2 linked regions of the Callithrix jacchus genome follow. The protein of the gene in region 1 interacts with the protein of each later gene in a biochemical or structural test. Links are inferred from orthologs where the notes say so. Each region holds a gene or a part of one and is shown in the gene's direction. Other genes may lie near its edges.

Region 1 (3,808 bases):
GTGGCGCTCATGGGGTAGTGAAAAGTAAAAGACAGGATGTCTGGAAAGTGTGTGGAAGCTTCAGAGCTCTCCAGATGAAAGCTACTCTTGTCTGCATGTTCCTTTCCCGCTGGGATCCTGAGCCACAGCACCTGTCCTAGAGGATGGAGTGTCTTGAGGGTGTTGCGAGGAGCTTGTGTTTTCCACTTGCTTGCAGCTCATGGCAGAGAAATTGCAGCTGCAGGAGCAGCTCCAGGCAGAAACCGAGCTGTGTGCTGAGGCTGAGGAGCTCCGGGCCCGCCTGACTGCCAAGAAGCAGGAGCTAGAAGAGATCTGCCACGACCTGGAGGCCAGGGTGGAGGAGGAGGAGGAGCGCTGCCAGCACCTGCAGGCGGAGAAGAAGAAGATGCAGCAGAACATCCAGGTGCCCGCCTGCTGTGCCCAGGGAGGGGCAGGGCCTGAGGGGCAGGGCGGGGCAGAGGAGCAGGGACCAGAACCTTGGGAGAACATGGAATCAGGGTCGTCCGAGGAGGCCAGCTCCTCACGCTGTCTGCTTGGGGCACTCAGTGAGGGGTGTTCTCTTTGGGTTGGTGGTCTGTGACGTGTGCCTCTAAAATCTCCATGAGCACTGCCTGGGCCAGCATTGAGGCAGATTTGATCTCCCTGCCATCAGCCCTGGCCCTGGCTAGCCAGAATCGTGCAGGACCAGCAACTCCACCTCCTCCCTGTTCCGTGGGTGGGAGCTTGCCCCAGGAAACCCTCCAGAACATGGCACCAGGGTTCTGGCCCCTTGTCCCAGTTTGACATCTGGAATCCTGCACATACGGCTTGGGCCCCGCCTCAGCTGTGGCCCTGGGCTCATGGATCTTGCCGTTCCCCATCTCAGCCATGGCCCTGGGCTCACAGATCTGGCCATCCTCACCTTGGTGTGGCCCTGACCGTCGGACCTTGCTGCTTTTGCCTTGGCCATGCCCTTGGGCTTGCTGTCCTCACCGTGTCTCTGGCCCTGGCAGGAGCTCGAGGAGCAGCTGGAGGAGGAGGAGAGCGCCCGGCAGAAGCTGCAGCTGGAGAAGGTGACCACCGAGGCGAAGCTGAAAAAGCTGGAGGAGGAGCAGATCATCATGGAGGACCAGAACTGCAAGCTGGCCAAGGTGAGGCCTGTGGCCGCGACCTGCTGCCATTCCACAGGGCCTGTGGGTGGGAGAGTGTGGTCGCCCTACAGGGCTCTAGCCCCCCACTGCTGCTTCCTGTCTCTTCTGCCTGCAGCATGGGGGCTTCTGCTCAGCTGCAGGTGCTCCCTGGAGGTCCCATGGGCCTTAGTGGAGAGATTTTTCTCATAAATTGAAGGGGCCCTGGGAAAGGGTTTGTCCTTTCCCCTCTGGAAAGCTCTTTGCCAGCTGTGAGACCCGAGCCTCTGTACAGGTGGCCATGTGTGCAGCATTGCAGGTGTTGGTCACTGTGGGGTTGGGGGCACCTTGAGATGTGGGGTACTCCTCCTCCGCTGTCTCTGGATGGCAGCTGTTCCTCCTGAGAGCGAGTTGTGTCCCTGTTAGTGTCTACCCGGGGAGTAGATGGCAGTCGAGGAACGAGTTAGAGGAGAAAGCAGGAGAAGGCAGCCTCCCCACCTTTTGGGGCTCCTGTGTTCTCACCAAAGGGTTGGAAGGCTGAGGTGGCAGGATGCCCACCTGGGACTGGGACGAGGGGACTGAGATGCTTGTGCTAAGTTGTGGCACCTGGGCAGGGGTGTTGCGGGGGCCACACAGGGCAGAAAGCAACGAGAGCAGCCCGGGGCACTGTGGGGCTAAGGAACAGGGAGGCCATGGTGGGTTAGTGGGGCATGGAGAAGATGGCCTGGCCTGGTGGCACAGGTGAGCGCCGTGTGGCAGCCTCTTGAAGGCATGGAGCCATCTGTCCCTGCTGATACTAGCTGTCCCCTAGAAGCCTTTCTCACCCAAGCCCATGGGGTCAGGGGAAGGGCCTGGGCACCCACATTTTCTGTTTCTGAGGAAACATACCTTGCTGTTGCAGGAGAGCTGGTGACCTTTCAAAGTCACCCTTTGATCCAGGAAATCCTAATGAATTTGATCAGGTGTCTATAGCCCTCTCCATTCAGCCCAGAATTTCCTGGCGAGTCATGCTTTGAGGAGAGCCAAAGTGTTCTGTGCTCTACCGATACTAAACGCTGACTTACCTCTCTTTCACCAGGAAAAGAAACTGCTGGAAGACAGAATAGCTGAGTTTACCACCAACCTCATGGAAGAGGAAGAGAAATCTAAGAGCCTTGCCAAGCTCAAGAACAAGCATGAGGCAATGATCACTGACTTAGAAGGTGAGGGAGGTGACGGGCAGGGGGCTGGTGGGCAGGGGCTGGCCTATGACCAGAACACTGAGGCATCCTCAGCTCACAGGTGAGCCTGGACCACACTGCAGCACTGGCTGCTGCCCTTCAGACCCGAGGTCAGCAGGTCGAGGGGAGCTGTGTCTGGTGCCGGCGGGAGCCTGGGCTTCCAGGCCCCTGTTGCTCTGTGGCTAGATGCTCCCCAGCTTCAAACGTGTTAGGAGGAGAGCCTTGGTGTTCCCCTGTTGTCGTGCACCGTGGGTTTCAGGAGCTTCTGAGGCTTCCAAGGTGGCTCTGGTTTTGGCCTAGAGGACTCACTAGCTCTGTCACTGATGAGCTGGTTCAGCTTACACCTTTTACTTAAGTTCCATGAGCTTTAGTTTTACCTAAAAAAGGGGACACAGTGCTAGGGTGTCTGTGAGGATTTCATTAAATACATGTGAACACGTGTACCATAAAGTGCTAGACAGATACTACAGGAACTCACTGCTTAACTTGCGGCAGGGTGACAAATCCTGCCTCATCTCTCTGTGCCCTGGGGATCTGTGGCAGGAACGGGGGACTGGGGTAGAAGCACAGGTCTGTGGTTGTCTGAGGACCCCCGCCTCTGCCTCTTGAGAGGAGTGGACAGCTGGGGAAATAGGAGAACCCAGACTACGGTGGGAACTCTGAGCTCACACCCGGGAGAGGGAGGCCAAAACCCGACCCCTGGGAGGATTTTCCCCAGCTTGGGTTTACCACCCTGTCCGGCCCCATCACATCTGCAGGAGATGAGGTGAGTTAGGTCATCCAGTGGAAGAGAGGTCCAGACACAGAGAGATCTCTTCCCCCACAGATGCCCTCCCTCACATGGGAGCGGCCTGGAAGACTCAGTCATCCAGGAGGTCTAGGGGTGGTGCCCACCAGATGGACAGACATGAAAGGTTGACACTGATAAGCACTAACACAGATACGGAGCTGTCACAGCGCACACAGGCTGCTGCTGGAACTGCAAACTGGTAGACAACTTCAGAGGGTGATCGGGCAGTCCTAGCGAGGTTGAAGCTGGGCATGCTGGTTCCGTCCATCACTCTGTCGTGTGCGCTGAGAGTGAGCAGGGCACTCGCAGCAGCATTATCAGAGCGTGCGGTGAACACAGTCCATGCCTGTCAGCTGCAGGACGGGTACATAAATAAGTTGTGATGTGTGCCCATCATGGAATGGTAGGCAAATGTCCATACAAATCTATTCCAGCGAAACTTCACAGGCTAAATCTCAAGATTGTGAGATGGGGCGGCAGAGGCCCGTCAGGGAATAACCATTGTCGACCTGTTGTCGGTGTTTTTTAAGATGTGACTCACTGGCGCCTCACAACACAGCCTAATGAAGTAGGTCATCGAAGAGGTATTGACATCACAGAGTTATAAAGCTAGACATTGAGCCCTGACTCTGCAGTTCCAACTGTGGAATTCACACAAGGCAGTTCCATTACATAAGTTCCGATGCACACAA
Region 2 (3,908 bases), on another chromosome or scaffold:
GTGTATGCCCCACCTGAGGAGCACTACCTCTGAGGCAGGGAGCCTCCTTCTCTTCCCCACTCCTCTGGCGGAGTGGGTAGAACGATGGTCTGTCCTGTGCAACCTTATCCCAAGAGGGAACTGCCCAGCTCAGGCGTGAGCAGAACAGATCTGTCCCTGCTCCCAAAGGGTTACCAGTGTGGCCAGGCTGAGCCTCCACTTCAGGACACCTGGACAGAGGCAATGTGTCCTGAGAAAGCCAGCTCTTGTAAGACCGGTGGCTCCCATCTGTGTTGAGCCACAGCCGGCGGGGGCTCTCCCAGTGCAGCCCATGAGCTGGTGGAGGCTGTGTCGGGAGAGGTTAGGCACTTGCTGGAGGCTGACGTTCTGGAAGATCACTACCGAGAGAGAGCCTGTGAGCGTGGGTCTGCTTTGACTGGGGCAGGATGTGAACACAGGCCCCCACCTCCATGCTCTCCAGGGCTCTCTCAGCTTCCCAGAGGCACAGACCCTCTGAGTGCCTTTGCTATAGAGATAAGGAGGGATTCCAACGAGCCTGAGACCTGAGAGAGGTCACGGGAGCCTTTGTGCGTCTAAGCCCTGTGGCTGCTCTGGTTTGGTAAGTGCTGAGGCTCAAAAACAGCACCCCAACGTGGATGCCTCAGAAGCAAAACTTTCTCCAGCCCCTCCTCCCCTGAGAGGCTTCCCCAAGATGGGTCACAATCAGAACCCCTTGTCCCCAAACCCAGCCATAAAACCCAGAACTACAACTCCAGTTCTCCACCCCCTTCCCTTTCTGCACAGAAACGAACCACAAAGAAACACTCTGGGCTGCTTTATCTGACTGCAGGTCACAAGACCTCAATTCCAGAGAGGGTCCTGGCCACACCTAGAAGGAAAGAAAGCTGCTCAGAGGCGCAGAGGAATCTGTCCCGACAGGCCGGGCCGGGCTCTCCTCCTGGTCTGTGCGTGTCCACCTGACTTTCCTGTGCGATCATATTTCCATGCTGTGTTTATGTTCGTAACCATGGACAGTTTCCCCCAGATCCCTGGGTCTTCATCCTGAAGGCTGCCGTGCCACATCAGCTACGATCAGATACGTCTCTGGTGCTTTTCTCTGAATCTGCCTTCTGCCCACTGATTTTCAGCCAGCTCCCAGAGGATGAAGGGGAGCTTTCTGTTCGGCTCCACAGGGGAGGAGCGAGTGAGACTGAGGGGGAAGCTGCACCGCTGAAGGACACAGGGTGTTCCGAGAAAGGGCGGCGGGAGCAGAAATGTGTTCACACACATGCCCAGCAGGAATTCACTCAGACATCTCCTCCCGTCTGCAGGCTGAGTGCCAGCAGCCTCTGATACCAACACACAGGGACACAGGGTCACCACTCACTCCACACACATTCACCCTGTGCCCACTTACCCAGGGAGGGCCACTGTGACTCACTGATGGCCCCAAGACACGGGAGCACTGTAAAATGCCAGAGGCGGCCCACACCCTGGGCCATGGCTGGGGGAAAGGTTCCAGAAAGGGCAACACAGCGATGCATTTCATCAGAACCGAGCACACGCATGCAGAGGGGCAGGACTGCCTGAATGTTCCAGCCCCGCTGTCCCACCCTCTGTGTCAATATGAGGCCGCCTTATAAAGCACCAAGAGGCCGCCAGGGGGACATTTCTCAGCCCTGCCAGCCCCCGGGAGGAAGGTGGGTCTGAACCCGGCACCATGACGGAACTGGAGACAGCCATGGGCATGATCATAGACGTATTTTCCCGCTATTCGAGCAGCGAGGGCAGCACGCAGACCCTGACCAAGGTGGAGCTCAAGGCGCTGATGGAGAAGGAGCTCCCGGGCTTCCTGCAGGTAAGCCCAGGCGGGCAGCTGGGGACTCAGGAGGGGCTGGGGGGAAGGGGAAGGCATTGCAGGCAGAGGGCAGACAGCTGCAGTGGGGTCAACGGCAAGGGGGGCAGATCCTGAAGGACCCTTGATGCCCAGCCAAGGAACCAACCCACCTTGGCATCAAGGCGGGGGACACTGGAGCATCTGAGCAAGGAGAGGGTGTGGTCAGCTTCATCCTTGAAAGATGGAGTTGACCTTAGTGGATTAGTGACAGCCCTGGTGGGAGAGTAGGACTCAAACCTGTGGTGGGGGTGGGGAAGGAATGCAATCCAGGACTGTCCCCGAGGCCGAGTCCTCCGAGGCTGCTGGCCATAAACGCCCCAGCCCCACCTCCCACTTGCCCGCCTTCCCTGTTCCCATTCCCAGGCCCCTTGTTGCCTGGTATTAGTGGGAGCGGCACGAAGGACAGGAGGAGGCTCCATCCTGGCACCTGTCTGCACAGAGCTGGGGGCCTCCCTTGGGCTCCCTGCCAGGGAGGAGCCACTGGCCTGAGCCTCACAGAAGGCCCCTCAGGGAGGCTGGGACCAGCTTCCTTCGACGCCTGGGGCAGCCTCCAACCAGGCCAAACAGAGGCCCTCCCCTCTCCGTCTCTCCCTCTTCTCTTTGACCTCCATCCTCTACTTCTTTCTCACTCCCCCACTGTCTTCCTTCCTTTCCCTCTCCTTCGGGCCCCAGCAGGCTCTGCCTATCTGCCCTCTCAGAGGCCGACCCACATGCATGCTGATCATCAAAAAGGAGAGCTTCAAAGACACAAAGCGCTTCAGAGCACTGGATGTTTTTTTGAGATGAGGTATCACTCTGTCACCCAGGCTGCAGTGCACTGGCAGGATCACGGCGTGCTGCAGACTTGACCCTCCTGGCCTCAGGTGATCCTCCCACCTCAGCCTCCCGAGCAGCTGGGACTACAGGTGCATGTCACCATGCCTGGTTAATTTTTGTATTTTTTTCTAGAGACAAGATCTCATCATGTTGCCCAGGCTGGTCTCAAACTCCTGGGCTCAAGCAATCCGTCCGCCTTTGCATCTCAAAGTGCTGTGATTATAGGCATGAGCCCCGATGCCTGGCCTAGCATTTTCTAAATGTAAATGCTGTAAAGATATCTTTTAAAAATAAAGTTCTGTTTGTGGTAGAAAATGTAAAAATAGGTAAGTACGGAGGGAAGAAATCCCTCCTGGATCACAGACGCTTCCCTCCCTTTCAGCCTTTCCCCATGTGAGTGGGATTTAGATGCAATTTAATTTCTTTTTGAACTTAACTTACAACATCCCTTCTCAAACTCTGATGGTCATTGAACACCCCAGCCCCAGGCTGGGGACTCCGGCTCGGGGCTCAGGGTGCTCTGAAAATGATCGAAGTTTTAGAACTGAACCCAGGACTTTGATTCAAGACACTGGGGTGTGGGGAGGGGCAGGTGCAGGTGTCCTGGGAACACATTTGGAGAAGCAATGTCTAAGCTGGGATCCTCAAACGTGTGTTACATTACAATTACCTGGGGGAGGCCCTGGTGCTCATCTCAGCCCTTTGCTGAAGCCCAGCAAAGCTGGAGTCAGAGAACAATGTCTGCCTGCGGGTAGGGCTGGGCCGGCCTTGTGGCTCTATCTGCTCCAGGCCCTGCCCAGCGCCCGGCACAGTCGGACGAGGTGACTCTCTGGCTACAGCCTTGGCAAACATCACTTGAAATGGCCGCGGGGTATTGCGACGTGGCCAGACCACTATTTGTTTGCTACTGAATCTGTACTTCCTGCCTTGCTTTTGCTATTACAAACCATGCTGTTGTGAAGGTCTCCACGTACACAGCTGTGTCTTGCTCAGACGATCTGTTTCTGCCGATTTTAATTGTGTTTTTCCACCTGGACACACAGCTCTCTGGCCCAGAGCTGGGTTGTCAGCACCCCCTGCTGCTGCTGTTCAGATCCGCATCCTGGTCCCACTTGTTCCCACAGTGAGGACGCTTTGCCATCAAATGGGTGGGCTCTCAGAGAGACCTGCCGGCCTGGCCTTCTCAAAGAAGACCTGAGAGCCTGGGACCCCAAGC

What was found.
Region 2: the proteins of MYH9 (region 1) and S100P interact in a biophysical measurement, tested with the Homo sapiens proteins (2 studies listed by IntAct). The link is inferred for Callithrix jacchus from reciprocal best matches to the Homo sapiens genes MYH9 and S100P.

The regions. Positions count from the first base shown.
Region 1 is NC_133502.1:207,240,205-207,244,012, reverse strand, and holds part of MYH9 (myosin-9), read left to right. Parts: intron 1-196; coding exon 197-403; intron 404-992; coding exon 993-1,130; intron 1,131-2,184; coding exon 2,185-2,308; exon of another isoform or gene 2,309-2,703; intron 2,704-3,262; exon of another isoform or gene 3,263-3,808. UniProt on the Homo sapiens protein: Cellular myosin that appears to play a role in cytokinesis, cell shape, and specialized functions such as secretion and capping. Required for cortical actin clearance prior to oocyte exocytosis. Promotes cell motility in conjunction with S100A4.
Region 2 is NC_133504.1:186,929,665-186,933,572, forward strand, and holds the start of S100P (protein S100-P), read left to right. Parts: upstream 1-1,645; 5' UTR 1,646-1,699; coding exon 1,700-1,837; intron 1,838-3,908.